Linked DNA regions of Cricetulus griseus. The protein of the gene in region 3 interacts with the protein of the main gene of each other region in a pairwise test. Links are inferred from orthologs where the notes say so. Each region holds a gene or a part of one and is shown on either strand. Other genes may lie near its edges.

Region 1 (4,796 bases), on a different chromosome or scaffold from region 3:
TGTGTTGAAATCAAACTCTCAATATAATAATATTAAATGTCAAAGTTTTTAAAAGGCGATACAGCAAGAAGACACCCATAACCAAGAGGCAGACATTCACCAGACACCGAAGCTGGAGCTCATTTTCCCCAGTCTCTCTGGTGCCCATAACTGTGGAAAAGAGATTTCTGTTGTTTATAAATTACCTGGTTGTGGTATTTTGTTATAGTCTCCTTAACAGACCACCTTCTAGTTTTTGTAAGACTTATTTATTCACCGAAGTAACTCGAATCTAGTTGTAGGGAATCTGGTAGGGTTCTACATCAGGCCTCTCTTCTCTTCCACAAAGAAAGTAAGGATGGAGAAACTGTCAGTAATGAGACTCGTGACAAAAAAAAATATGTGTAAAAAGAGGGAAAATGGGATTAAAAACTCAAAGAAATGGTGAATTCAGTTGAAGGCCTAAACCATCAAATGAGATACTCATGTGAAATGGGGTAAAGGCAACTGTAGGTAAACCACCACTGTAGGAACTGTAGGTAAACTACAATTGTAGAAACTGTAGGTAAACCACCACTGTAGGAACTGTAGGTAAACCACCACTACAGGGAAGGAACCAAGTCTAGAACTCCTCTTGGGAATTGCAGAAGTTATCAATACTATTGAAAGTTTACTTTGCCCAAAGAAATGTCTTTGGACAGCATTGGAAAGTGTTAGAGAGCATAGATGACATATTACACATGACAATATATAAAATCATTCTTAATAATTCCATCAGTGTCATATAAAAATGACAGAGTACTCCAGCAAACCTGAAAGAAGCCTCTGCTACTTCTGTGCAGCAACATCAACTGTCAAAAACAGAGCCTTAATTGGCAGTGACCTTTTAACAAGAGGCTTGGTTCAGAAACAGGAGTGGGACTTTTAAAAGTTCCATTTGCTCCTAGAAGGTCACTGGGCCCCCTCCATTCCCAGCACCATCAAGGCGGCTGGACCCTGCCCCCACTTCTGGTGGACTTCCACTGCTCTGGTGCACTCCCCACCAGCCTGCAAGCAAGTGAGAGACCTGCCTCGAGCTGCGCCTCAATCCCAGCCACCCACTTGACACTGTCACATCACGACCCACTGTGCCACCCAACCCCACGCACCTGAACATCTTCCCTGTGGCCAGCCAGGCCCCAAAAATGTAGGCACAGGAGCAAGCCACACCAGTTGGAAGAAAAGATGAGTAAATGCCATTGTAAGAATACATTCAACAACCAGAAGAGCAAATGGTACCACCAGAACCCAGTGATCCTATAACAGCAAAACCTGACCATTCGAATGCAACAGAAACACAAGAAAATGAATTTTAAAATTACTTTATGCAGGTCTCTGAAACTCTATGAACCACATCTTAAAGTGCTTCCTTGACATTCAAACCTGTGGTTCACTTTAGAATAATTAGAGTTGATTTGATTTGTGACCTGTTGGCTATTTCCAATTTGCCTTCCCGTTGAAATCGAGCAATGGCCTGGATGAAAAGCACGGTAAAATGAAGTTTCTTTTGCTGTTCTGCACCAGAAGATCAAAACAGACAAATGATGGGGCTGCAAAACTGAAGAAAGCACCTTACAGTCTCCCAGACGATGGTGAAAGCACAACAGTTTCTGCACCAGCAGAAATGTATAGACGCCATAGAAGACTCCGAAAAGCTGGGAGCTTTTTATACTCCCCAGACTGCAAAAACACAGGAGAATCATGGACATGAAGACAACAGAGAACTCTGATTGCTGTGCTTACTGCACCATTGTGAATTGGAATTTTCGCTCTTGTTGTCTCAAAAAAAAAGGGGGGGGGGTGAATTAATTCACTCTAGTTTCATTTATTTTTCAGAAAAAAAAAAAAAAACCACTGGGACCATAATGACGCATGTTCAAATCCACAGCCAGCGTTGCACAACTATATAAATGTAAAAATGTTCTCCCGGCCTCAGTTTCTCCATTTGTGACACAACCAAATGCTACCTGCTTCAAATGTGGTTGTCAGGATGAAGTGAGAGAAGGCGCCCGAAGTTCTGAGTGAGCTATCTTGGTCCCAGTAAGAGTTTTTGAAGTTGTAAGGTATATAAAAATTAAATGTAAGAATCAATGCTCTCTCTGTAGTCAAATATAGGCTTTTCATTGAGACTTTCTCAGAATGGAGTTGGAAATTTTCTGTATTTTTTCTTAAACAGGTCGAGAATCACTGCTTTATAGTGACTCCCCAGAAGCCAAGGGATACAGCATTAGAATAACTGAAACACTCTTTTTGATTTTTTTCTTTTCCATTTCTTTTTTCTATTTTTAAATTTAAATTAGAAACGAGCTTGTTTCACATGTCAGTCCCAGTTCCCTCTCCCTTCCCTCCTCCCTTGCCCCCCACTAACCTCCTATCCCGTTCCCTTTCTGCTCCCCAGGGAGGATGAGGCCTTCCACGGGGAATCTTAAATTCTCAAGGGCTTTATTTTCACACCATCATTTTACACACAACCACACTAACATCTCTGGATTCCTTCTTGAGATAAATTTCTACATGGTTGTATATAGTTACTTGGGAATCTGTGCTCATAACTATTTACCTTTCTAGGATTTAGCTAAATAAACCCAAATATGCATTGTTAATAATTTCTACTATTACTCATTCTATCAAATAGTAATTAGAATAGCACAAAGAAGCCAATTCAAAATGCTTTCTTCACCCTGCTTATTCACACATATGCATCTATTTATACATACAGCTGCCCAGTAGCTACTAACCAACTGCTGTCTTACACTTCATAAATGGCATTATAGAAGGCAGCCATTGCCTGGGCAAAGGTCCTCCCCAGCACTGCTGTATCAGGTGACAGAGTCAAAGGTTCAAGCTCTGCCACCACCTTCCCTCACCCAGAGGACTCTAACAGGGTGACATTACCTCTCTGGATCCTGACTGCCAACCTCCAGATGCCCAGTCCCAAAATGACGCCGGTCAGCAACCCACACACAATAGCCACCAGCACCCGGATGTTGCAGGAATGGCAGGAACGCATGTTGAAGCCAAACCACTCCACCACTCGTTGTGAAACAGCTAGTTTCTTAAGTCAAGAGATTTCATCAAAGACGGTTATCAAACATGAAAAGAACTCTTCCTTTCAGTGGTCCGTCTGGCAGGCGTTCTCATGTTTGAAGAGTTTTGAGGTTAGTTCAGCGTAAAGTAGTTTCAACGACCTAATAGAAGGTGTGTTTCTGCTTGCAGTGTGCTCACTCTTCAACGAGGGAGATCAGGTGTCTGGGATTCTCAGAAAAGGAAATCAACTGAGAGCAATAAAAAAGGGGAGGGGTTGGCCTAGAGGGTCAAAGGGTGGATCTCCAGACAAGAAGAAAGGAGGCCAGCAAGGAGAACCCAAAGAGGAAGTCAGGAAGGCAACGGATCCCTCTGGTTGTCCACAGCTCAGCCAGTGCTTCAGCACCTCCACACACCTTCCTGGAGAAATAAAGTATGTTGTCAAATGAGATGATAACTGCAGTAGCCACATATGATTTCACTGCTTGCATTTCCTCACATGCTAACAGCTGGAATTAGTGAGTGAGCTTCTTGGCTCGGGGAGAACTACAAAAAGCACTGGAGCCTAGAATCACGACCCCTCTATTATGGATTAAATTATGTCTCCACATTCATGTGTTGGAGTCCAAAGCACCCACAACGTGGCCTTGATTGAAGATCAGTTTGGTAGGGAAATGATCTAATTTAATTCAGGACAATAGAGTGGGCCTTATTCCAGTATGGTTGGTGTCTTTAAAAGAGAAAATCTGTGTAGAAGTGCACAGAAGGACAATGTATAAAGAGACTGGGGATAAGACAACCAACTGCAAAGGAAGTCTACAGAGAAAGGCTCTAGCAGAGCCTTCCTTCAGAGCCCTTGGAAAGAACTAACCTCGATGTCATCGTCACTTAAAACAGTGGTTCTCAACCTGTGGATCGTGACCCCTGTGGGGTCAAATGACCCTTTCTCAGGGGTCACATATCAAATACCCTGCTTATCAGATACTTATATTATTATTCATAACAGTAGCAACATTACTGTTGTGGAGTAGCAATGAAAAATAATTGTATGGTTGTGAGGTCACCACAACACAAGGAAAAATACATTCCTGTTATTTAGGCCACACAGTTTGTGGTACTTTGTTACAACAATCTTAGGAAAGAAATCCTCTACCAGAACGTCTATGAACAAACTAGAACCTCTACGCAGCTGCAGCGGTGACTCTTGGGATTGGTATTCCTCTCCCCAGCCCTCCCTAGTCTCAAATGAAGACACTAATGAGTAGCCATGTCAGGACTGTCACAGGCAGGGACAGGTCCTCAAAGCATTCATATTCTCTTCAGGGTGAGAAACCAAGGAGTTCACCCCTGATAAGACAGGTCACAACTGTTAAAGACAACAAATGTAATTAGCACAGAGTTCTTTTCCAGGAGTATCAAGTGCAGATTTATGAAATAAATTTTACATTTAAGCTGATTGTCTGTTTAACCCTTGAAATTGCATGCATATTATCTCCAATTTCTCAATAGTACTTATTTTCTAAAGTACAACCTTGGGGGTATTAATATAAAGTCCTAATTTTAATTGATCCCAGAGCTTCATGAAAACACATTAATATGTCACAGAATGAAACAATTTAGAGACTGCTACAGAAGAACAAAACAAATGAATCCATGTTCATTATCCATTGGTTGTGAATAATAATAATTATTCCAATACGTCTATATTATCTACCAGAAATGGCTAAGAGTAGGGCATGTAAAAAATTTTCTTC
Region 2 (4,212 bases), on a different chromosome or scaffold from region 3:
TCAGATCCCCAACACCAGTGGACATGGTGGTGCACACCTTCAATCACAACACTCAGGAGGCAGAGGCAGTTTGATTTCTTTGAGTTTAAGCCAGTCTTGGTCAATATAGCAAATTCCAGGAAAGTCCCTGTCTAAATAAAAATCTAAAATATTGGGTTGAAAATGCTGCTGTTCATGCAGAGGTCCTGAGTTTGGTTCCCACCACTCACACCAGGCAGCTTATAACACAGTAACCAGCTCCAAAGGATCCAGTGATCTCTTCTGGACTCCTTGGCCGCCTGAATATGTGATATTCTCTTACACGTATATGCATAATAAAAACTTAAAAAAAAAAAAAAAAAAAAAAAAACACAGAACCCCAATACTCACGTAAAATGCCAAGCACAGTGTAACACTTCTCAGCCTTGGGAGGCTGAGGTAGGAGGATTACTAGGGCTAACTTGCCAGGTGATCTAGCCAAATTGGTAAGCTCCATGTTAAATGAGAGACTCTCAAAATCTAAAGGGGAGCAAAGGTGTGTGTGTGTGATACCATGTAAAAGTCACTAGACTGATGATATGCTGAACTTTATAGCATGCTCCTACCTATGGCTTACCAGAGTGCTGTTTTTCTCTCCAAAGCTGTGGCTGTCTGTTTCAGCTCTGTTGATATCTTGTGGTGTCTGGGATCGAGGTGGACTTGATTAGGAATCGAACAAAACAGAGCAGCATGTTAATTCTGTCATAGCAAGCATAAATCCCAAGCAGGGCTATTGCCTCAGTAATGGGGGAGGTAGAGGACTCTTAGAAGCATGCCTCTTCCCCTGTGCCTAACACCAGAACAGGGCCAAACAATGAGCATAGGGAGCCAGCTACAGTTCTGAGGGACGCTCCACCCTCCTGCATGATCTGCTGCATAGCCCTCAGAAACATCTGACCTTCGATCACTGACTCTCAGCACACACCTTGGATTCACTCCCTAGTAGTGCTGCCTAGGAACACAAGCCAGCTGGGGGTCATGAACAAAACTACCCAGACTTGGTGTTCACACTGAATAGTTTCAAAACAGAGGCAGTATATTAAGGAACTTTTTTATTTGCCCCTAGGTTTAACATGGTCCCTCTAAACTGAGCCCCAGACCACTTCATCCCAGCAGACTCCAGGGTTCCTTATATCAAGGCTGCTTCCAGAGTTATTCTCAAATGTGGCCTTAGACCTGGAGGCCCACCCACAAAAGCATGCACAACTGCTATTATCCATCTGCTGAAACATCAACACTGTAGAAGACATCCAGCAAACCTACCTGTCACAGTGAGAACTCTTGGAGCTACTTCGTCCAGATTCATGCTGGGCATCTAGCAGTATTTTTTCCATGTCACCATTATAAATAGAGACGGAGGCTGGTACACTGCTCCCATTCCCATTGCTGAAGTGCAGTTCTACCCAGGAGCCTGAAGAAAACAAAAAGGGCAGTTAGAAATCTACCTACTCAGTCAAGCGGTGATGGTAGACACCTTTTTAATCCCAGCACTCGGGAGGCAGAGGCAGGCAGATTTCTGTGAGTTCAAGGCTGGCCTGATCTACAAAGTTACTCAGAGAAACCCTCTTTAAAAAAAAAAAAAAAAAAAAAAAAAAACCGCACAAAGAAAGAAATCTACCCACCAGCCTTGAGGTCATTTTGTGATGAGGAATGTTCTTCTGTGTATGTTTCTCTTATTAGTTAATGAATAAAACACTGATTGACCAGACAGGAAGTGACAAAGCTGGGCAGAATCCGGATATAAGCAGGGACAAACAGGAAATATCTCTCTTTCTGTGGAGATGCTAAGCAGTCATCATGTAGCAGGCAAAGGAGTTGCAGGTCCATCCCCAGCAAGAAAAGACCATGTGGAAATACATGGATTAATAGAAATGGGTCAGTAATTAAGGCAGAGCTAGCCAATAAGAAGCCCTAGCCAACGGCCAACAATTTCATAATTAATATAGTGTCTAGTGTCCGTGTGCTTCTTTGGGGGCAGAGAAGGGCAGTGGGACCTGCCTAGCCAAGAATTTCATGTTACAAGTTTGTGCTACAAAGATCCGAGAAACCAGGGGGGGGGGGCACACACCTTTTGTCCCAGGGCTTGGGAGGCAGAGGTAGGAGGACCTCTGTGAATTCAAGACTAGCCTGGTCTATACAAGTTCAAGACTACAGTTCAAGCCAGGATTACAGAGTCCCTATCTTGGGCCAGACAATGATAGGGCATACCTTTAATCCCAGCACTCAGATAGCAGAGTCAGGTGGATCTAAGTTCCAAGACAGCCTGGTCTATAAAGCAAATTCCAGGACAGCCAGGACTGTTACACAGAGAAACCCTGTCTCAACACACACAAGGGAGGGAGGCAAGGAGGGAAATGGATCCACTTATAATCTGAGTTGGAGATATAGCTCAAAGGTAGAGATTATAAAAGGCCCTAGGTTTCAATCTCCAGTACCAAAAGGGAGAGAAAAGGCAAGAGGATCACTTCAAGTTCAAGGCCACATGGGCTACATCAAGCAAGACTTTGTTTCTAAACCACAAACCCCCACAAATTTCCAAAAAGAAAAAGGAACTATGCATGGTGGCAGGTACCTATAACCCAATAGAGAGAAGAGGATTTAAGAGTTCAGAGTCAGGGGGCTCAGAGGTTAAGAGCACTGGCTGCTCTTCATGAAGACCCAGTTCAATTCCCAGCACCCACATGGCAGCTCGCAACTGCCTGTAACTCCGGTTCTAGGGTATTTGATACCCTTACACAGTATATACAAGCAAAACACCAATGTACATTAAATAAATAAATGTTAAAAAAAGAGATGAGGGCCACCTTCAGCTACCAGTTTAAAGAAATCTGTGACCTGTGCTACATGTGACCAACAATATCCCCTTAAAAAGCCAGGCATGATGGGGGCATACCTGAAATCCCAGAATTCAAGAGAAAGAAGTAAGTTTGAGGCCAGTCTGTTACACAGAGCCAGTACCAGGTCAGCCAAAGGTACATAGTGAGTCTCCAAAGCAGAACACACATTCACGGTCGCTGGAAGCAAGAACACTATACAGCTTCCAGAACCCCAAAAAGAAGTGCTTTAACACTCAGAAACACCTGGCCAGTGTACTTGTTGCAGAATAGGTCACAAGGGGAGGGAGCTCAGAAATAAATTGGATTTACAGTTTATACCATCAACAGCCTCTCAGTAAGCTAAAAAATGATTATACAATACAAATTTGAAAATAAACACAATTTTCCTCATTAGCCCTCAGATTGACTCATGGAGAAGCAGGCATAGCCCACATGAAGCACAATACCAACTCAGAAGGGCAGAGTCCAGAGCCCTCTGTGGCTGTACACAAGCAGAGGCCCCAGTGCCCTCTGAGATCTGCAAATCCCCACACTCCAGTTCCAGACACACTAATTTCTTTTGCTGGCCTTCCTCCCTTCACTGGCTGATGATACTCAGAAGCCAGGGATGGTGGCTCATACCTAGAATCCCTGCAGTTCTGAGTCACTAAGGCAGGAATGTTGCTCTGAGTTCAAAGCCAGCCATGGGTAGTTCAGTTCCTTTTGTCTAGGCAGATCTAGTATTCAGAATCTGAGCCAGTTCCAATGTATATTATGAAGCTTAATGTTATCCAAATCTTTTCTGGTATCTAGCAAAGTTTGAGATTGTGTTATCTTCTTCCCAGCACCCACTCCTGATGGCAAATTTAGACTTTTCCCTACACCAACTACCAATTTTCCAAATTCAATCAGAGGAGTCTAAGAATTCAATTATATTCTGACAGTATCGCCTAAAATTAGTATCCAATCCCATAAATTAAAGGCTGAAACCCACAAGGATGCCCCATGTCAGACACCAGCCACAAGCAGAGTACAGGCTATCCACACTGCTGCTGTCAATTACAAATTTAAAAAAACTAAAAGACAAACTCAAGCTCTCCACAGCCCCCTGAGATTTAATACTTTGGTAGAGCTCAGAACTCTACCTGTGGCTTAGTTTGTGCTACAGTTCAGAAGCAGCCAGACAGGGCAGGGAACACCACCTTCCTGTGCCAATTCACAGCTCCATGAACACTCCGGTTCAAAGCTGGGCTGTAGTGGCAGTTTCTTATATTTTTAACAGCCCAACTTACAGCTCCTTCCCTGGTGCTCCTAAATTTCCACCCTCTGATAAATTATTAGTGAACAAACTTTAGCCTGAGGCTAGCTATTCTGGGTC
Region 3 (3,965 bases):
GTGGGATCCAGGGGATCCCTGCACCTCTCATTATCTTCCCTTCCACAGGCTGTGGCCCCTTCTGCTGCTCACGCAGAGGGGCCTGCCTCTCGGCCTTCCTGATGCTAGTGCTGGCCATGCTTGCCACCTTGCTTGCCGTGGCCACCATCCTCGGACGTCCACCCCGCATACCAGGTCAGGGTGGCAAGAGGGAGGCGTGGTGGCTCAGGGAGATGGGAGCCCTAGCGTTGCCTGGCTTCTCTCTGAAGTGGCTTGAGTGGTTCCTCATGGTACAAACACAGACACCTGTGCATGTATGGACACAAGTCTGAAGAGGCCTTTTACACATCCTTGACATGCGTCATTTTACATTTTTCTTTTAGTTTTAAGGTTTATTTTTATGTATACGGGTGTTCTGCCTGCATATATCTCTAGACCACAAGTGTACCTGGTGGCCAGGGAGGACAGAAGATGACGTCAGACACCTGGCACTGTAGCTGCAGATGGTTGTGAGCCTCCATGTGGTTGCTGGGAATTGAACCCAAGTCCTCTGGAAGAGCAACAAGTGCTCTTAACCACGGAGCCAGCCCCAACATGCACTCCCGAGAGGTCGTGTTTTTGCTGTTACTTCCTCTAAGAAACTCTCTCTGTCCCCTGAGCTGGGCTAGGAGCTTCCTCAGCCCCCACAACCAGCGAGTGCACTCCCTATTCCCTACCCTGACCACCTGGACAGACCAGGCTGTGTTCACAACTTCCCTGTGGTCTGACTGCAGTGATGAACCCCCCAATGCAAGTGGTGAAACCCCCCCAAGGCCTAACGGGGGTCAGGAGTCTGGAACCAAGGCCCTCATCCGATCAGTGTGGAGGGAGGGAGGGAGCACTATGGGGAGTGAAAGAGACCCAAGATGGGAAGAGAAAGTGGAGATTGTCAGGAACAGCATCCCAGGCACAGGGAACAGTGCGTGTGGAGACCCTGTGATGGGACACGTGAGAAGGAAAGATGGCAAGAAGCCAGGTGGATGTGAGTGGGTGGGGTCAGGCGCCCAGGACCTTAAAAGCTGCACTTGGGAGGGTGGCCATGTTCCAAGAGGATTGTCCCATACTTCTTCCTTGCTTTTTGAGAGATGGCTCCATGGCCAGGCGGGGCCACTGCAAGGGATGAGGAGGAAGTGTGAAACCACAGCATTCCACCCTGACAGTGTAGAAGCGTGAACTGGAGCCATGGACCTGTATATGCAAGCGTGTGTGCATGCATGTGTGCACATGTGTGTCAGTGCTTGTGCATGCAGATGCCTGCCTGTGTGCATGTGTGTGAGTGTCTGTATGTGTGCAGGTGCCTGGCTGTGTGCATGTATGTGTGAGTGTCTGTATGTGTGCAGGTGCCTGCCTGTGTGCATGTGTGTGTGAATGTCTGTATGTGTGCAGGTGCCTGCCTGCCTGCCTGTGTGCATGTGTGTGTGAATGTCTGTATGTGTGCAGGTGCCTGCCTATGTGCGTGTGTGTGTCTGTATGCATGCAAATGCCTGCTGCTTGTGTTCACATGTGTGTGTGTGTGTGTGTATGCCCATATGTTGTTGGGGTTTATTTTGTTTTTGGCTTTTTGTGTTTTTTTTCTTTTTTTTTCCTCTTTGGGGGCCTGCCACCCAACTCCCAAATAAATACATGGAGAATTATTCTTAGTTATGAATGCCTAGCCGTAGCTTGACTTGTTTCCAGCCAGTTTTTCCTAACTTAAATTACCCCATCTACCTTTTGCCTCTGGGCTTTCACGTTTCTCTATTCTCTATTCCTTTCTTTAATTCTTACTCTGTAGCTGGTATCCTCTCTCCTCCTTTTCTTGATCCCCTTCTGCCTTCTCCTCCTATTTATTCTCTCTGTCTGCCAGCCTCACCTATTTCTCTCTCTCCTGCCTCGCTATTGACCGTTCAGCTCTTTTTTAGACCAATCAGGTGTTTTAGACAGGCAAAGTTACACAGCTTCACAGAGTTAAACAAATGCAACATAAAAGAATGCAACACATCTTTGCATGATTAAACAAATGTTCCACAGCATAAAAAAAAAAGTAACACATCTTCAATATTCCACAGCACCCATATGTATGCAGGTTCCTGCCTGCCTGTGCCCACATTAGTGTGCATGCCAGTGTGTCTGTGTCCATGTGTCCGTGTCCGTGTCCGTGTCCGTGTGTGTGTGTGTGTGTGTGTGTGTGTGTGTGTGTGTGTGTGTGTGTGTGTGTCCATGTGTCCATGTGTGTGTACATGTCTATCTGTGCATCTTGTCTTTATGCGTGTGCCCGAATGTGCAGGTGTGTGCATGTGAATGTGTTCGTTTTCCTGTCTGCTTCTGTGGCAGTGTGTGTCCCTAAGAGTGCTTCCCATGGCTCGTGGAGGTTGCTCTGGGTATGAGGCACGATGTGCTGACAGGCCTCCTGCTTCCCCTCCCCCATTCACACCTGTGCCCACAGGCACAATCTATGACTCCCATCTCCTTAGTTTCCCCGTTAAGTCTTGGGCTACCTCTAGGGGTGGGTGTCTCTCCTCCTCTGGCAGGGTTTAAGCATACCACTTCTCAGGAGTACTTGGAGGAACAATAAAAACATGGAAGTCTGCAGACTCTTAAGGTATACCCAGATGGGAGGGATTGTGACATTCTGTCCCTAGACGGCACAAATGTACAATTTGCAACAAGCTAAACTGGTTCCAGGAGAGCCATCATTAAAGCCATGTGAATGATGGCACACTGCCCTCAATGCTTCCTGTGTGGCCAAACCAGTGACCCACTCTGCACACCCTGTGATCCACAGTGTCTGGAACTATCTTGTTGTCCCTGACATTCCACATTCCCCTGGGACTAGGCTCTGACCTGTATTTTGGAGACAAAGGACCTTGGCTGGAGGGGCCAGGTTACCTGTGCCTGCTATGATATGGCAATGGCAGAGTGGCAGCTTCAGCCCACAGATGCCATGGAGTTTAGGGCCTCACCACTGCCCCGGGCCCTCCAAGGAGCTCAAAGGGACTCACTGGGGGACCCTGTGCAATGCCCACCTTGCCCATCTCAAGGCTGTCTTTATGAGCACCACCTTCATTCCGGGGCCTCTCTTGATCCTACAGGGACCCAGTCCTGTGTGACAATGACCAACAGGACAGGCTTCTTATGCCATGACCGAAGGCACTGCATCCCAGCCCATGGGGTGTGTGATGGCATTCTCACCTGTCCCTATGGTGAGGATGAGGATGAACGCTTGTGCCGTGAGTACACCCTCAGTTCCATGTCCCCCACAGCCCCCTTAATTCTCCACACAGTCCTGCGGAACATTCTTAGGCCGCCTCCATGTCCCCGTGCCTATGGTGACATGGTGCCTTAGCCAAGACCTTCTGCTATACATTGGTGGATCTTTCATTGTCATTTCCACTCCCCAGAATCTGTGGCCACCCTTCAAGGCAGAGTTCACATGATACCTCTTCCTGGAAGCCTTCCCTGACTCCTGCTGGAGGTCAACAGTCCTTCTTTAGGCTCCTAAAGACCCTTACCTCCCTGTGTCTTGGCCCTAGTTACACTGGCATCACCTCTGCTACCCCCATCAGCCTGTGAATGCCTCTGTGGCAGTCTGCTCTGGACTGCTTGATACTGGAGTTCTGGTATTGGGATAAGGATATCCAGAATGACTTGCTGAATCAATGAGCAAGTGAGTGAATGAATTGGAAGGCCCCATACCTTAAACACCTGTTTTTAGGAGAAGAGCCTGGCTGTGCGAATGCACAAGAAAACATGAATGAGTGAGGAGACCCGAGGCAGGCAGAGAGCTATGAGGTTGAGGCAGGGGTTGGGACTTTAAAGAATCATTTAGCCCGAATCCAAGAGTGGTGGTACACACTGTAATCTCATCACTTGGAAGGTGGACACAGAAGGATCAGGAGTTCAAGGTCATCGTTGGCTACACTGCAAGTTTTAGGCCAGCCTGGGCTACATGAAACCCTGTATCAATG
Region 4 (2,628 bases), about 210 Mb from region 3:
TTGGAACAGGAGAAATCCTATCATGGTTAGTAATTGTCACAGACACACAGTAAGATATTCTTGATTGTTGATCACAAAGCCCTAGAGAGAGCAGATTTGTGGTTAACTTATTTAATGTACTTGAATTCCTTTATCCTTGAGAAATATGAGAATCTGATCTTTTACCTATTTGATTTTCATAAGCTTAAAAATATTAGTGTATAGATAAATGACATGATCTTTATTTCAAGGTATTTATTCTGACAGCATAACTAATGTGGTAATAATAATAGTAGCCATACACGTGAGGACCCAGTGAGCTATTTTGAATAAGAACACTTCATTTAGATGATCAGTTTTGTGGAGACTTGAGAAATACTTAGTTCCTGTAAAAAAAAAAATGGTGAACTTCTTAGCAGTAGGGTGTAGAAAGTGAACATTTTTGTAGTGCTTTTTCAAAATTAAAATTCATACTTCATGGTCAGAAATAATTAGGAAAGATATTTATGGGCCATTTTGAGGAAATTGGCAGCTACATTATGCACACTTAGTCATTGTAAAGTTTGTTTACAAGATCCAGTAGGTGAATACATTGGCTAACAATTTGCTTCCCTCTTAATCTTGACCTTTAGAAAGACATTCTAGACAGGGAGTAGGCTGTATTGTTTCTCCTCTTGAGGGAGTGCTGGTTTGAAGTTGAACTGGCATGTTACAGATCCTGGAGGTGGTGGCAGCACTTCATAGAAGCATTACGATGATACAGATCAGCAGGAGACATATCAAGATGAGACAGAAATTGATAAATAGATTCTGGAGATTTTGGCGTGCTTGCTGAGGCATTTCAATAGTTGAGGCTCTCCTGATAGCAGAGCGAGTGAGGTATTGGACTTTTTCCATGATGCAATCAGGAAGCCTGAAGTTTTGAGTGGTCAAGAGAAAGAAAGAGCTGCTTGTAAGCAGGCAAGTGTAAGCAGCTGTCTTCTGTTAGGAGGCCTGGAATGTAAAAACAGTAAATGGACCAGGTTAATACCTATACCCATACCCATTCTCTGGGTCTCTGTGTTTTATGACATCAACTGTCCCTGGGCTCCATGGTCTCTGCTTCTATATCTCGTATGTTACTTCACAGTCCCATTTGTCCTGTTTGAGCTGTAGGAACTGTGGTTTTTGGCAGGTATTACTTGGTTTATGGAATGCTATCTCTCTGATGTAAACATAAGTGTTTCAGGACAAAGAGATGCATATAGTAAATTAAAAGCTTGGTTAAACATGAAATAAAAAAAACAAATTCTAGCTGTTTGCCTTCTTCTTTATGATTTATACCTTTGATGCCCCCTACTATTTTAAATACTGTACATGATAATGAATACTAAAGACTGCTAAGCTTGGAAGGCACTGTAATAATTATTGTACAAAACTACCATGGACAGTTCCGATTTTCAGCTAATCTTGCTTACCTGGTTTGTGTCTGGCCTTCTTTCAAAGTTCCTAAACCATTGCTGAATATGTAGGGTCTAAAGAGTTGATAATTAATAAACAATAAAGCTTATTAATAAACTAAGTGTACTGTCCGAAGGCAGTAATCAGTCTGGCCTCAAACTGGAGGCCGCCACCTTTCTGCCTTTGCATACTAAGTAAAGGGATTACTGTCCTATACTACTATGCTGGGCTAATGTTTTGTTTTTTGTCAGAACATTTTTGTGTCAGTTTTAAAACAGGAAGAATAAACAGAAACAAAATGCAATGATTTACTGTCTAGAGACCACTGTGTCTAATTTGTTGATGCATCACTGTCAGCAGGATATTATTATAGACTCTCGCTGGCAGTTGGATTTGCTCCCTTGGCTCTGCATTCTTGGGAACTCACCTCAGTCTGCTGTCCCCACATCTGAGACAAGTGCTGAGGAGAGGAGAAAGGAGACTGAGAAAGGGGGAGATTTGCATCAAGCAGAACCAGCTAGAACTTGGTGTTTATTTTATAAAGATGGCATAGTTCTCAGATCTTCAGCATGGCTCTATTGAATTGTAGTAGTGAATTGGATTTTCATTTGGTGTGTGTTTCTGTCCTTCATGTGTATGCTATGATAAAGAGCCACACAGGGTCAATTTATATCCAAATCTGTTCTCAAGCTGTGTGCCACCATGAAAGTGTTTTTAACCTTATATTGAGGCTTCAGAAAGAGATTGAAGGGAGAGAGTGTTAGGGAAGTATTAAGAAAAATTGAAAAACACTTAGCAAATATACCCCTGCTTACCTACTCAGCTCTTTTTTAAAGCTCTGGAGAAGTACACACTAGACAGCACTAGAGGTCCTCAGTTGACTGCGACTCTGGAGGGGAGAGGGGAGAGGGGAGGGAGGAGCATATACTCAGGCTTTATTTTCCTGTGTTTATTTGGTAATGAATGCTTCAGAATTGTCAGGTAAGGATACTGATGCACCATTTTTCTTATCAGTTCATGCTGCTGTAACTTAGAAGGATTATGTCCTTGATTCCCAATTCTAAATTTTCGCTTTTGTTAGAGTGTGAATTCACACATTAGATGAACAAAGCCAGATCCTTTTGTTCTGGAACCTTGAAAATAATGACCAGTAGTTAAAATGGTGGAGTGAGTGGGTAAGAAAGGAAATTGATTAGATATGGGAGTGGA
Region 5 (4,747 bases), on a different chromosome or scaffold from region 3:
TCATTAGTATTTGTTTAGAAGCTGCTCTAGGAAGTACGATGTGCATAGCTAACGTCACAGTAGACTCAGAACAAATAGTTTCTGGGCCAGGGAGGTGGCTCAGCAGGTAAAGACACTTGTCCCTACAGCCTGATGACCCTAGTTCTATCCCTAGAGCCGGTGTATAACTTCTTACAGCTTAATAGCAGCTTCCCACTGCCCCATGTAGATTATGGTCAGATCAAAGGGGGCCCACAGCCCCAAAGAGTGGTGTGCTGCTTGTCCCTGATATTCAGAAAAGGTGGTGAGAGGTGAGATTCCAGCAGAACATAGTAGCTTTGGCACCATCCTGTCAACAGTGTAGGGACCTGAGAGTGGCCTGTAAGCTCTGGGACTTGGAAAGAGTTGAGGATAGGCTGTTTGGGGGCTACCTGTTGCCTTTCCTTGCAAGGCTTTGGCTTTGAGTTTCATTTAATCCACCTCCCTGGCTGGCAGAGACAATTGGCTACTCCTCCCACCTTGCCCAGGACAGGCCCTGGAACTCCCTGCTGTTGCTAAGGAACAAGACACATCCTGTCACCCCAGTCTTCGGGACAACTCTCCCGTGCATCCTCTCCTCTGCCCGGGGAGGCTCTCCAGCTGGCCTGCTGGAGCCAAGGAGGGAAGGAAGAAGACTCTGGGGCGCCAGGCCTTCCCTCAGGGCGGTGGAAAAATGAAGGTTAGTGGGTTGGAAGGTAAAGAAGAAATCGGTCCAGTCTCCAGACCTGGCTTGCGTGTGAAAGAAACAGCTTTGTGTGGAAACACAGCAAGGCAGCCAGCCCTGGGCTCTACTCGGGAAGGAACTGCTTGGCCCCAACCCTGGGTCCTAGCTCGACTAGGAAGACAGCAAGAGCAAGACCCCAAAGAGTGATTCAGTTGGGACAACACCAAATCCCTGAAGAGGGGAGGTGTAATGCCTGGCTGCTTCAATCCCTCAATTAGAATCCCAGGGTCGCCTTGATGGGAAGAAAGGCAATCTGTGTGACCACTCTGTGACCTTGACTGTACCTTTTTCTTATCCAGTCTCCTCTCTTGGAAAAGTATAACATAGCCACGTGCTGGACTGTCTGAGCTCCAGAGGTGTCTGTGGATGGTTACACATAGTAGGTCCTCAATAAATGTATTTTATATCAGCAAAAACAAAAACAAAAACACTGCTTACATCCTGAGTGTAAAGATCAGCAGGGGCATGGCTGGATACCTCCTGGAGTCGTTTGCTCCAGGGAAAGTCTAGAAAAGAGCCTTCACGAGGCAGCACCAGTTCCCTCTCTCTGGCTGGCTGGCCGGCTCTGTGCAGAAGGACCTGCTCTTCTGGAACCTTTCTTTTCCCCTCCCAGGCGACGTCCCTCGTCCGATGGGTGTGTCTGTCGGGCGGGAGGTGATACTTGAACAGCTGCGGGCGCGGGCGAGTGCTGTGGAGCAAGGATACCGGCATAGGTGACAGCATGGCTTCCCGGGACACACCGCCGGCCACCAGCTATGCCCCGCCCGACGTGCCCTCGGGGGTCGTTGCTGTGTTTCTCACCATCCCCTTTGCCTTCTTCCTACCGGAGCTGGTGAGTGCGGCTTCGGCCACCAGCAGGGAGGGAGGGGCTGGGAACCACTCCTGTGCTACCGACCTACCGCCACCCGCCACCCCCCATCCGGGGATGGGGTAAGGCAGCTAGCTACGGGTGCCCACTTTCCATACTATCTGCCTGACCCCAGGCTGTGTCCCTCTAGAGCGAACTTTCCTCCTTCCCAAAGAGGAACCTTCCCCAGGACACTCGTTTATTGAAGGTGTGCAGCCACCTTCTAGATTACCCAGACGTCTCGGAATATTCTATTACCTGGTTTCTTTCCACCTAGCTGTTTGTACTTTCCTAAAGTTCAAAGAACCAGAGGACTCTCTCTCTAAAAGGCCTTCTAAAAGAAGTTCTCCGAGTATTTCTCAAAGTACATCAGCTGACTTTGAACTTTGATTTATGTGTCTCCACAGAGGAGGGAGCTCATGACAGCACCGTCCATAAAACAATCTCCTGAAACGCCCAAGTTACCCCAGAGAACTTGTTATTGCCGGACTCTGGGGCACCCCACAGCAGAACTGGGCTTTATTCCCTGCCTGGGCTCAGCCATGCATCCAGTAGAAAACAGGTTCCCTCTGCTCCTGCAGTATCTAGATTGTGCGTGATTTTTTCTTCTGAGCTCTGAATTTGACAGTGCTGCCTCTGTGTCGGGAGGAAGACTCAGAATAGTACATAAAACTGGCACCAGTGGCCAACCTTTTCCACTCTCTTGGTCTCCTCGAAAGGCTGGGACTGATGGAGTGAATTTTAGGCAAATTGGTTAAAACAGCCATTCTTGTTCATCAAGAAAGGGAAGCCAAGCTAGCTGAGCCCCATAGTTGGGTGGCTTTGGCAGAGACCCCACCTAAGAGATAGGTTTCTTTCAATCCCCCACAAACGTGGGCATCCTGCCAGGCTGATCACATTCTGAACTCTGTGTGCCAGGCCCTGGGTGTGGCCCTCACTTTGGAGCAGCCACATGTATGACAGGACAGAGCTGTCTCTGCCACTTTTTATTGAGCATATTCTTGCCAGTCACACAAATCATTGTAGGAATGGCGGCTACCTCCCAGGGGTCTCTGTGAGTGTTTTCTGGGTGGCTTAAATGCAGCACCAGCAAGAAGAGATGGCCAGTCCCAGGTCAGGGAGGGCCCAGGGCTGTCCCTGGGAGTTGCCACTCGAAGAAGGCTGGATGGCTGAGGCAGCAAAGCAGCCAGGTAGAGAACTGGCACTTGAGGGGCCCACAAATGTCCCCACCTGTCCTCCTTCTGCAGTGGATTCCTAGAAGAGTACTATCAAGGTGTCCTGGGACTTGGAGGAAAAGAGGACATTGTCATTGGTTTGGTTTTCTTGACTTATTTTTAAATAATTTTAGATTTCTCTTAAAGACACAGTAGCAGTACAGGAAGTGTGTATCACTCTGAACCCCACAGATCTCCCCAAGCCAGGAAGTTAACATTAGCACTCTGCTGTTGACCATTGTTGTCATATTTGCTCATTTCCCCACTAATGGCCTTTCTCTGACCCAGGGTCCAGGCTAAAACTCCTCATTGTGTTTGGTTGTCCTTTTCCCTTCATTCTGGGGCGGCTCCCCTGCCTTCATCTTGGTGTTCTAGAGAAGGGATTAGTCCATTAGGGCAGTACCCTTCCAGTTAGCCTTGCCCCAAATTTTTAATTTGCAAGTCAACCTTATTCATTGTTTAAAACTTAGAAAATACAGAAGTGGGCAGGACCTGTATGTATGCATGTGTTCACAGGTGGAGCATGTGCAGCGTGTGTGTGTGTGTGTGTGTGTGTGTGTGTGTGTGTGTGTGTTGAGTGCATCATTCTGCACATGCTACTTGTACCCGCTGTGAGCAAGGACTCCAGAATCATGTGTGCCTGGATGAAAGACGGGGAAAGAGGGGACCAGGTTGGGGAAAGGATCAACTTTTGATTCCATGAACGGAAGCTAGGAAAACGTGTATTTGTGCTGAGCCAGTTTGGCTCAGACCGGTCTTTGGCTTGGGCAGTCTGATGTATCCCCCTCTGCTATCCATGTGATCGATGTGAAAGCACCATGCCTCCAGGTACTCCTGACCCTTCCTTAGTCTTCTGGTCTGAGACAAGGGTCTATAGAATGGATTAGAAAGCAGCGAGGCCAGGACACCATTGCAGAGCACAGAAAGCAATACCCAGGTATAAGGTGAATACCGATACGGAGCCAGTAGAGATATTAGGGTATATTTATTAGGGAGAGCCTTACTCACAGAGCAACCTAGCCAGCCGGAAAGAAACGGAGTAAGCAGAGCAAACCAATGAAGCAGGGAAAAAGAAGGGGCTCCCAGGTGCGCGTCCCTCACGTCACCCTGACCATGCCTGCCAGGACGTGGTCAGGCACACCTGTAGCCAGCCCCGAGGAGGCGTGGTTACTGTGTCCCCTACACCCAGGAACTAGGGTGCAGTGATTCTGCGGTGGAGTAGCTCGGGGTGACATCACACAATGGTGTCTTCAGTGACCTTCCCAGCCACCAGCAGCTGTTGTGGAGCACCACATGGAGCCGGTGGGCAGATTCATTGTCAGATCAAATCCAACAAGCTGGGATCTTCCCTGATGGCCATAAGCCACACTCTGGCTATCATGGAGGTACGCCTCTGGCTCTTTGTGGCTCTTGAAGATGACAGGCCAGGTAGGGTAGCTCAGGCTTCCAGTAGCTTACTCTAAGGACCTTTGCCTACAATGCTTTATTTACCGATCTTCAGCATTAATATTTGCATTTTAAAACTTTTTATTCTGTGATAATGGTGGTTCTATAGGAACTTGCATTCCCTACAGTTCCCCAGTGGCCATGTCTTTCCTAACTAGAGTTGTTTTAAAACTGGGAAACTGAGGTTGGCGAGACAAATCTTCAGTTTACCCCTGTAGATTTGTCCGAGAGCAAGGTTCGGGACTGTCTCATCACACCAGAAGCCCCCCTTTTGCTACTCTCTGGGGACCCCAACCCATCCCATGTTCCTTATCACTATTCCAACAGTTTGTTAGAAATAAGTACTTCTACGGATAATTTTTTTAGTTCAAGAAAGTTATATAAATAAATGTAATTGAACAGCATAGGACCTTTTGAGACTGGATTCACAGTTTGTTCCTTTTTATTGCTGAGTAATATTCCACGATAAGGATTTTTCATAATCTAACCACCTCTATT
Region 6 (3,524 bases), on a different chromosome or scaffold from region 3:
CTGATGCCTATGGAGACAGGAAGGTGTTGGATCTTCGGAATTAAGAGCTATAGACACATTTGAGACACCATGTGGGTGCTGGGAACTGAACCTGGGTTTTCAACCAGAGGAGCAAGGGCTTATAACCACTGAGCCATCTTGTCAGACCCTCATGGTTTGAGTCAGGGTGTCTCCATGTAGCTCTAGCTGCCCTGGAACTCACTCTATAGACTAGGCTGGCCTTGAACTCAAGATCTGCCTGCCTCTACCTCCAAAGTACTGGGATTAAAGGCGAGCACCATCACTGCCCAGCTGTTTTGTTGTTTGTTTGTTTGTTTTAAAGTTAATTTGCTTCCATGTTTGTGGGGAGTAAAGGCCAGTGGAGGAACTTGCTGGATTGGCTCTCTTAACATGTGGGACCCAGGGAGCAAACTCAGGTGGTCAGGCTTGTCTGAGAGGCATCTTTACCTACTGAGCCATCTTGCCGACTGCACAGGGCTTTCTGACCGTAGGCAATTTTACTTTTTGCCAGGTGGAACAACCTCAATGAAAGCAGCAGTGAGGGAATTTGCTAAGGTTGTCTTCTCTTACCTTTATTGTTCCAGGGCTGCTGTCAGCTTTGGATCTCGTTGAAGTCAATCCTCAATTGGCCACTTCAGAGGAAGAGGCCAAGGCTACGGCCAGCCTAGCAGTGGACGTGATTGCTTCAAGTTTTGGTCAGACAAGAGAAGGAGGACATATTGTCTATGACCACCTTCCTACTCCTAGTTCACCAGATGAGTCAGAAAATGAAGCACGTGTGAGGATTTAGGAAATACTGTACACTGGCACCTTTCACAATGAATGGCATTCCAGAGTTGCAAGGCATTTAAGTGGACAAACATTAAATGGCTGTCTGGATCAACATTGCCTTAATGAGAACATCTGTGCACTCTCACAATTGTAAAATTTCCTTTCTCTATTTGGTGACCAATACTACTACTGTATATTTGGGTTTTTGTTTTTGTTTTGTTTTTGAAGTTCACAAGATATTAATGTTATACATTTAAATCTGAAGGAGTCATAAACAGCATTTATTACCTTAGTATATCATACTGGTCTTGCGCTGTTCCTTCACAAATTTGTGGTTTTCCATTGCCCTCCCCCCATAGTCTGGCTACACAATACATTCTTGAACTGTTAGCCCACAGCAGCAATATATATGCCTAACACCGTTTGGAGTCAAGATTCTGGTCCACAGTCCCTTCCCTCCAGGAAGTTCAATGGTGTCGAAAGAATTTGTAGTACACAAGCCCGGCCAGGATGGCTAGCTCCAGGATGATGATGATGGAAAGCAGCAGCTTGTTGGTTGTCACTCTGCAAAGACAAGCACAGTAAGTAGACATGAGTCTGGGTAACCTTACTTCTAGCCGTTTCTAATGCTGCACACAGTGAGGCAGATGGAATATGTGTTTGTTCACATAGCCACTTAGCAGTAAATCCTACATCCTTTGGCTAGTGAAAATTCATGGTGCTTTTCAGCTATAACTGAAGGACATCACTTAGTACATCAGACATGTGGGAAACAGGAATATAAACACCAAAACATAAACATAGCTTCTTTATTGGAAAAATCGCCTCCACTTGCATTTCTGCTGCTTTAAATATGGTCCTATTAGTTACACATACAGCTCTGAGTGCATATTGGAAGCAGGGTTTTTAGGGTACACTTTGGTTTCAGAGTTAATTAAGCTCATGGATGGGTCCTGCTTTTAGGTCAAGTAACTTGAGTGGCCTTGAGTACTGCCTTTTAGTCTCTTGTAAACTTCTCCCTCTCTGCTCTGCTATCTGAACAGCCACTCTAAAAAATTTACTTCAGATTATCATCTGATCTCTCCTTATCTCACAAAGAATTTACCATGGTTTGGGAAATTCTACTGCAAATACTAGTTAAATGAATGGGTTGTTGTAGTTATTGTTAGCTCACATGTACACAAAGCCATGCCACACTACTATGCACACAGGTTACCCCAGTGTTACTCCCCTTTGGCCTTGTTTTTGCTGCTGCTAGTACTTGCCTCGGGTTTGTTTTAATTAGTCCACGTGTGCACGCACACACAATTCACTTGTGGCAGCCAGAGGACAACTTTAGAGATGCTTCTTCCTCTCAACTCCCCCCACCCCCAACCACCTTTACTGCCTGCCAGCTTATTTGAATACTTCTTGCTAACAGGACAGCACTCCCAAAAAGGGCCTGCCTTGAAAGGCAGGGACTAAGCCCTATCAGTGCTCTTACCGCCTGTGACAAAGCTGCTCAGGAAGTAGAGAGCACATCAGTTCCTTAGGTGGTCTCTGAGAAATGGAGATGGAGATAAGCATTATCCAGCAGATAGCCTTCCTGAGATTTTTAACTACACAAATCTATATTCTTTGGATGGTGAGTGCTGTATAACACTGAGGTTATTTATTAGGACATTTGCTAAGTTACTGTTTTAAGCTTTCTTAGTTGAAATATATTAAGTCTCAAGGAGTTGTGGGCTTTCTTTTTTTTTTTCTTTTTTGAAACTTACTTTCTGGACATTGAGCGGAGAATCTTTCGGCTTTTGCTCAAGTTTTCATTTGTGTTTACCAGCTGAAAGAGAAAATAACAATCATTTCCTTCTTTCAAGACATTCTATAGAATCTGAACAGTGGGCAAGTAAAGGTCATTGTTAATAAATCAATGAATTTAACGGCTTATACCTGAGTATAAATGAAGGGAGCTAGAAAGGTCAATGTGGGTGTGTGTGTGCTCATTTGAGGAGGGAATCACTGTATCACACTGTTCCTGTAAGACTGGGGTGGCTATGAGAAAACTAATTCACTTTGGCTATTCAAACAGGAAGGTTAAAGACATGGTGGTGTATACCTTTAATCCCAGTACATGGGAGGCAGAGGCAGGCAGATCTGAGTTTGAGGCCAGCCTGGTCTACACAATGAGTTCCAGGACAGCCAGGGCTACAGAATGAGACCTTGTCACAGGAGGAGAAGGAAGAGAGAGAGGGGCGGAGGAGGTGATAGAGAATAGTGTCACAGTTGTAACACCAAACCTTTCTGACTGCCAAATAGGAAAGCTTCCCCTGTACCTGGCCAGTGACTGTAGGACAACTAGTGTTTGACAAAATTCAAATCTTGAGAGTCTCTTGAGTTGGTGTTTGCTACTTTTTCTTTGTAAGGGTTTATTTTATGTGTATGAGTATTTGCACAAGTGTGTGTCTACTGCCCACACAAGTCAAAAATGAGCATGGGATCTCCCGGCTCTGGGTCCTCTACAAGGGTGCTGCCTTGTAGACTGGCAAGTCAAGTCAATGCTCCTGGGATCTTGGTTTTTTTTTTTTTTAATCCTTGCTTGAGTGGTTACACTTAATGGAGAAAGGATTAGTCCCAATGTGCCTTTCTCATTTGATTACCTGTTACTAATCTAGTTAGCAGAAGGAAATTTCAATGATGTTCCTTGCTGTATCTCAGATCAATCTTTGGTGTGTTAAGTTCAACCAATCTACAAAGTATACTCAAGACCCAAAACT
Region 7 (4,790 bases), on a different chromosome or scaffold from region 3:
AAAGGCAGTAACTCCAATTACACAAGAGCTTCGATACTCTGATCTTCCTTATGCCAATTGTGCAGTTTCCTATGTGTCTTACTCATCTCTTCAGAAACTTAAAAGTTTTCTTAATTATAAAAGTAACAACTGGAAACATCATTTTAATTTTGGGAGAAGTTTGGGTATTTGTCCTCCAATTTGTAATAAAACTGAACAGTTCCTCTATAGTGGTAAACAACAGAATCAGAGAAAGGTTTCACTGTTTCAAATACATCAATAATTTGGGCTGGAAAGATGGCTCAGCTGTTAAGAGAGCACACACTGCTTGCTCTTCACAGAGGACCAGGGTTGGATTCCTGGTCCCCACATCTGCTTGTATTCCAGCTCTCAAGGACTTAATGCCCTCTTCTGGACTCTATGGGTATCTGCACTCAAGTGAGAGATACATAGGTATATAATTTAAAATAATCTTTAAGAAATTTAAAAAAAAAAAAGCTGGGCGTGGGTGGCACACGCCTTTAATGGGAGGCAGAGGCAAGCAGATCTCTGTGAGTTCAAGGCCAACCTGGTCTCTAGATCGAGTGCCAGGATAGGCTCCAAAGCTACAAAGAGAAACCCTATCTCCAAAAAAAAAAAAAAAAAGAAAAAGAAAAGAAAAAAAGAAATTTCAAAAAATTGCTATTAAAACTCTGCTGTGGAGCTGGAGAGATGGCTCAACAGTTAAGAGCAGTGTCTGCTCTTCCAGAGGATCTCAACCACATCTAACTTCAGTTCCAGAGGAATTGATGCCCTTTCCCCGCCCTGGTAGGCACCAGCAAGAACACGGTGAGTATAAATGCATGCAGGCACACCCATACAAAACCTCCTCTGCCATGATTCTTGAACTAAAGATAAAAATCTCAAGCCAGAGATAATCTGCATTCATTTCAGCTTCTGTTTTCCACAGCTGTGGAACTGCAGCCAGCAAAGTACTTGGACTTATCAGGAATTCAGATAGTATTAAATTCCTGAATAAACTGTTTTGCTCAGCACCTTAAAAAAAAAAATCACTTGGAGGAATCAATACTGCTTGTTTTGTTCAACTCGGGGCTGTATGATGAGCTTTACAAAGCAAACAAAGAGGCAAGGCCAGTAGTTAAACCTGGCATCATCTAACAGCTTTTCGTTGACTTTTAAAAGGGCAGCCTAGCCCAAGTCCAAGGCTTTCTATCTAGCTGACTTTCCAAACTAACATCTGGTATCACATGTAGGCTGGGGGTTCGTTTGCTCCTGTAAGAGCCACTAAAAATGAAGCAGAAGCTGACTGGCCTATGACAAACACATCAAAGCTCTGTCAGACTTTGGGATAAACAATCACATAGAGCTCAACCCTTTTTGGTTCTGTTGTTAATAAAGCCTTAAGGAAAGTAAAAATCCCTTTGTATTCTGTGAAACCACATACCCACACTGACCAAACACTTAAGTATTAAGAAGACACCGAGCACAACTGACTCAGAAGGGACCAGGCAGAAGGCACACATGTAAATAAGCACGCACACCCCAAGACAAGACTCCTGAAAGCACCGTGGGAACTCAAATCACAAGCACCACTTCTAGGAAGAACACAACAGGTATCTCTTTTGTCTCATCATTTCTAAAAATGTATGCTAAGGACAGATAGAAAATTTTAAATTTAATATTACGTGATAGGAGTAACATTTAAGGACACACTGACTAAATCTTTTTAAAAACCAGCATTTAGAGATGTGTCTTATCAAAAGATGGGGCAGGGGCAGAGCATCTTCAAATACCTGAATTCTTTTTATTTACTGATTTTTTGGTTTTGTTTTGAAACAGTCTTACTCTGGGGCCCAGGCTGGCCTCTACTCCACACTGCTGGAATGACAGGTATGCGCCACCACAATGAGGTAAAATACCCAAATGGTCTTCTCATCCTGTAGGCTCAGCAACAGCTCTTCGTCAAACTATCTGGCCACGCCTGAAGCACCCCCTCTTATGAAAGACACCGCCTGACCTTTAAACATCCAAATGGCTTTTAAAGAACTTTGCCTTGCCATATGCCAACTACCCCCACTGCCTCTTTCATAAGACACGAAGTACAGAAAGGTTGGGCAAGAAGGTCGGTTGATCTCACAACAACAGGGGACACTCTGAGGACAAGACGTCTGTTAGAAGTGCACTCCATTTGATTGCAACTCCATCCTGACCATCAACTTTCAAGTGCCAGTGCTTGTGTCCTAGGTCTGTTGTGTTGTTCACTGTATTTCCCAAAGTCCACTGCCCAGATTGATGATGGGTGTGATCTGAGGGGACCGGCTGGCCACTCAATCCATGTCACACAAGAAACAGCACTTGAAAAGCCCTGAGCACGGTGGCCTATGACTGTCATCCCAGAACTTGGGAGGTTGAAGGCAGGAGGGTCAGTTCATCATCAGCTACACAGCGAGTTCGAGGCCAGCCTTGGCTACATGAGACTGTCTCAAAAAAGAAAAGGTACTAAAATAAAATAATTCCAGGTTAACAACAACGATTAAAAAAAACTCACTTAAGGAACTTGGGAAATTCTCAGGAAAAAAAAAAAAAAGGTAAATGACAGGGGCGGTACAAGCACCCTGCACAAAACTCCGCTGACCCCTGGACTGGCATGTGGTATAGGGCGAGCCCCGCACACCTGCGCTGCCGCACGTCCACCCGCCACGCCCGGCGGGCCGCGTCCATCTCCCGGCGTCCCCGCCGCACGTTCCCGGCCCCGCTCCGCCCGTCAGCCCCAGCCGCCCCCAGCTGCGCGCGCCGCCCGCTTCCGACGCCCGCCGCGACCCTAAGCCTCGGCGCCGGGAGCGCAGGCCGCGAGCCAGCGCCGAGCGCCTGCTCCTGACGGGAACGCGCCGCTGTCAGTCACACGCGCAGCCTCGGTCCCGACCAATGGGCTGCCGTCTGCTCCCGCCCCCCCGCGCGGCGGCGGCGGCGGCGGCCGAACGGCTCCTCCTCCCCCATCCCTCCGCCGAGCCCGGCGGCCCCGCGCTCACTGTTGAGGCCGGCGGGCGGCGGCAGGGGCTGCTCCCCTTCCTCGCAGTTGTTGTTGTTGTTGTGCAGGGGTGGCGGCGGCTCAACTAAGTGAGACATGGTCGGGAGACTGGGAGCGGCGCGGCCGCAGCACGACAGTATCCGGCTCTCGGGCAGCAACACAACAAGTCGAGTCCCCCCGCCCCCTTTTCTGCGTCTGCGCAGTCCCTCCCCGCGTGACATCAGGACCCTCCCAGACCACGTGATGACAACACTGGTGGCAGGGGGCGGGGTCTGAGCGGGGAGGGGGCGTGTCCGGGACGGCCTGGGGCGGGGCATTAGAGGGCTGTTCGGGACGTGCGGGTGCCTGAGTAGTGCTGACGCGGCGGGCGGCGGGCGGGCGCTGGGAACGAATTCCTGAGAGTCAGTCGCACTAGCCACAAGGGTTGAGCTAGGCAGTTGGCCTTGTGTCTGGTCCAGGGAGGAGAGTGCAGCCCGGAAGCGCCGGGCGTGAATGGAGTCCCTCCCACGCCTGCAGCGGACACGTAAGAACTCAACCTTGGCTTTAAAGAAGCAGAAAACCCCAGTTCCTTCCCTTGGTGAAACATCCGTCCGTGCCTCCCACAGGACACCGTGTGAGGTACCTTGGAGCTAATCACCCGCCTGGAATTTCTGAAATTTTAATTGCAAAGGTAACATGCAATCCTAGTGAAGAATCTATAATGGCTGGGCGTGGCGCACACCTGTCAAGCCAGCCCTCGCGCAAGCTGAGGCAGGAGGATAGCGAGTTCCCTGCAGCCTAGGCTACAGCGCAAGCCCTTTTGCCTTCAAACACAAAGTAAAAAGCAACAACAACAAAAACCAGATCTACCCAAACCCTGACGCTTACCAATCTCTGGAAATGATCTAACTCTTGTATGCTCCTGACTGTTCCTAAATACTCCTACATCCTATCTTTGCCAAATTTCCCTGACCTGGTTTTTTGTATAGGAAGTTTTCTCAATACGGTACTTGTCTTTTAACTTTGTTTCTGTTTGCAAAGTTGAAAATTTTCATGTAATTGTGAAACAAAACCAAACAAACTATGATCTGGGAATATCCACACTTCTAGGACCAGCCAGTGAGCTAGCTCAGCTTGCTGTGCAAACCTAATGACAGAGTTGGTTTCTCAGAACTCAGGTTAGATGAAAAGCTAACTCCACAAAGTTGTCCTCTGACCTCCACATATGAACCGTGGCCTGTGCCCTCCCCTATAAACCATACACACGTACACAATAATCTAAGATTTTTTTTTTTTTTTGGTTTTTTGAGACAGGGTTTCTCTGTGGCTTTGGAGGCTGTCCTGGAACTAGCTTTTGTAGACCAGGCTGGTCTCGAACTCACAGAGATCCACCTGCCACTGCCTCCCGAGTGCTGGGATTAAATGCGTGTGCCACCAACGCCCAGGTCTAAGATTTATTTTTAATTACACATGTTTGCCTTTAGAGGCCAGAGGTAACAGATCGCGCTAGTGCTGAACTTTCTAGAAGTTGTGAGCCACCCAACCTGGGTGCTGAAAATCAAACTCCGGTCCTCTACAAGACCAGCACATGCTATATACTGCTCAACCATCTCTCCTGTCCTATTAATAATTTTTTAAGGATTATGAATTTATTGTAAAACTCTAATTCTCTTAGGTTTTGTTTTACATTAGATGCTCCTTTAATTCCCCTGAAATTAACTTTTCATTTTGTAAACTGTCTTTGATTCTTCCCAACTTTATAGCCAACTGACCCAATGATAAATATCTACGGATATTTCGTTTA

Evidence for each region.
Region 1: the proteins of Ldlrad1 (region 3) and Adgrg7 interact in binary tests that used the Homo sapiens proteins (3 or more experiments, as listed by UniProt). The two-hybrid records come from large-scale screens. The link is inferred for Cricetulus griseus from reciprocal best matches to the Homo sapiens genes LDLRAD1 and ADGRG7.
Region 2: the proteins of Ldlrad1 (region 3) and Bnip3 interact in binary tests that used the Homo sapiens proteins (3 or more experiments, as listed by UniProt). The two-hybrid records come from large-scale screens. The link is inferred for Cricetulus griseus from reciprocal best matches to the Homo sapiens genes LDLRAD1 and BNIP3.
Region 4: the proteins of Ldlrad1 (region 3) and Pln interact in binary tests that used the Homo sapiens proteins (3 or more experiments, as listed by UniProt). The link is inferred for Cricetulus griseus from reciprocal best matches to the Homo sapiens genes LDLRAD1 and PLN.
Region 5: the proteins of Ldlrad1 (region 3) and Mall interact in binary tests that used the Homo sapiens proteins (3 or more experiments, as listed by UniProt). The two-hybrid records come from large-scale screens. The link is inferred for Cricetulus griseus from reciprocal best matches to the Homo sapiens genes LDLRAD1 and MALL.
Region 6: the proteins of Ldlrad1 (region 3) and Vti1b interact in binary tests that used the Homo sapiens proteins (3 or more experiments, as listed by UniProt). The two-hybrid records come from large-scale screens. The link is inferred for Cricetulus griseus from reciprocal best matches to the Homo sapiens genes LDLRAD1 and VTI1B.
Region 7: the proteins of Ldlrad1 (region 3) and Bnip3l interact in binary tests that used the Homo sapiens proteins (3 or more experiments, as listed by UniProt). The two-hybrid records come from large-scale screens. The link is inferred for Cricetulus griseus from reciprocal best matches to the Homo sapiens genes LDLRAD1 and BNIP3L.

Annotation. Positions count from the first base shown.
Region 1 is NC_048597.1:35,383,229-35,388,024, reverse strand, and holds the start of Adgrg7 (adhesion G-protein coupled receptor G7), read right to left. Parts: upstream 3,029-4,796; coding exon 2,914-3,028; intron 1-2,913. UniProt on the Homo sapiens protein: Orphan receptor.
Region 2 is NC_048596.1:62,076,842-62,081,053, reverse strand, and holds part of Bnip3 (BCL2/adenovirus E1B 19 kDa protein-interacting protein 3), read right to left. Parts: intron 1,430-4,212; coding exon 1,282-1,429; intron 678-1,281; coding exon 596-677; intron 1-595. UniProt on the Homo sapiens protein: Apoptosis-inducing protein that can overcome BCL2 suppression. May play a role in repartitioning calcium between the two major intracellular calcium stores in association with BCL2.
Region 3 is NC_048595.1:42,609,446-42,613,410, reverse strand, and holds part of Ldlrad1 (low-density lipoprotein receptor class A domain-containing protein 1), read left to right. Parts: intron 1-48; coding exon 49-174; intron 175-3,089; coding exon 3,090-3,227; intron 3,228-3,965.
Region 4 is NC_048595.1:255,659,561-255,662,188, forward strand, and holds Pln (cardiac phospholamban), read right to left. Parts: upstream 877-2,628; coding exon 718-876; downstream 1-717. UniProt on the Homo sapiens protein: Reversibly inhibits the activity of ATP2A2/SERCA2 in cardiac sarcoplasmic reticulum by decreasing the apparent affinity of the ATPase for Ca(2+).
Region 5 is NC_048599.1:50,860,067-50,864,813, forward strand, and holds the start of Mall (MAL-like protein), read left to right. Parts: upstream 1-1,463; coding exon 1,464-1,574; intron 1,575-4,747.
Region 6 is NC_048598.1:124,473,638-124,477,161, reverse strand, and holds the end of Vti1b (vesicle transport through interaction with t-SNAREs homolog 1B), read right to left. Parts: intron 2,591-3,524; coding exon 2,529-2,590; intron 1,336-2,528; coding exon 1,239-1,335; 3' UTR 1,024-1,238; downstream 1-1,023. Other genes in the region: Arg2 (arginase-2, mitochondrial), read left to right, coding at 585-790. UniProt on the Homo sapiens protein: V-SNARE that mediates vesicle transport pathways through interactions with t-SNAREs on the target membrane. These interactions are proposed to mediate aspects of the specificity of vesicle trafficking and to promote fusion of the lipid bilayers.
Region 7 is NW_023276807.1:221,982,788-221,987,577, forward strand, and holds the start of Bnip3l (BCL2/adenovirus E1B 19 kDa protein-interacting protein 3-like), read right to left. Parts: upstream 3,202-4,790; 5' UTR 3,106-3,201; coding exon 3,009-3,105; intron 2,678-3,008; exon of another isoform or gene 2,654-2,677; intron 1-2,653.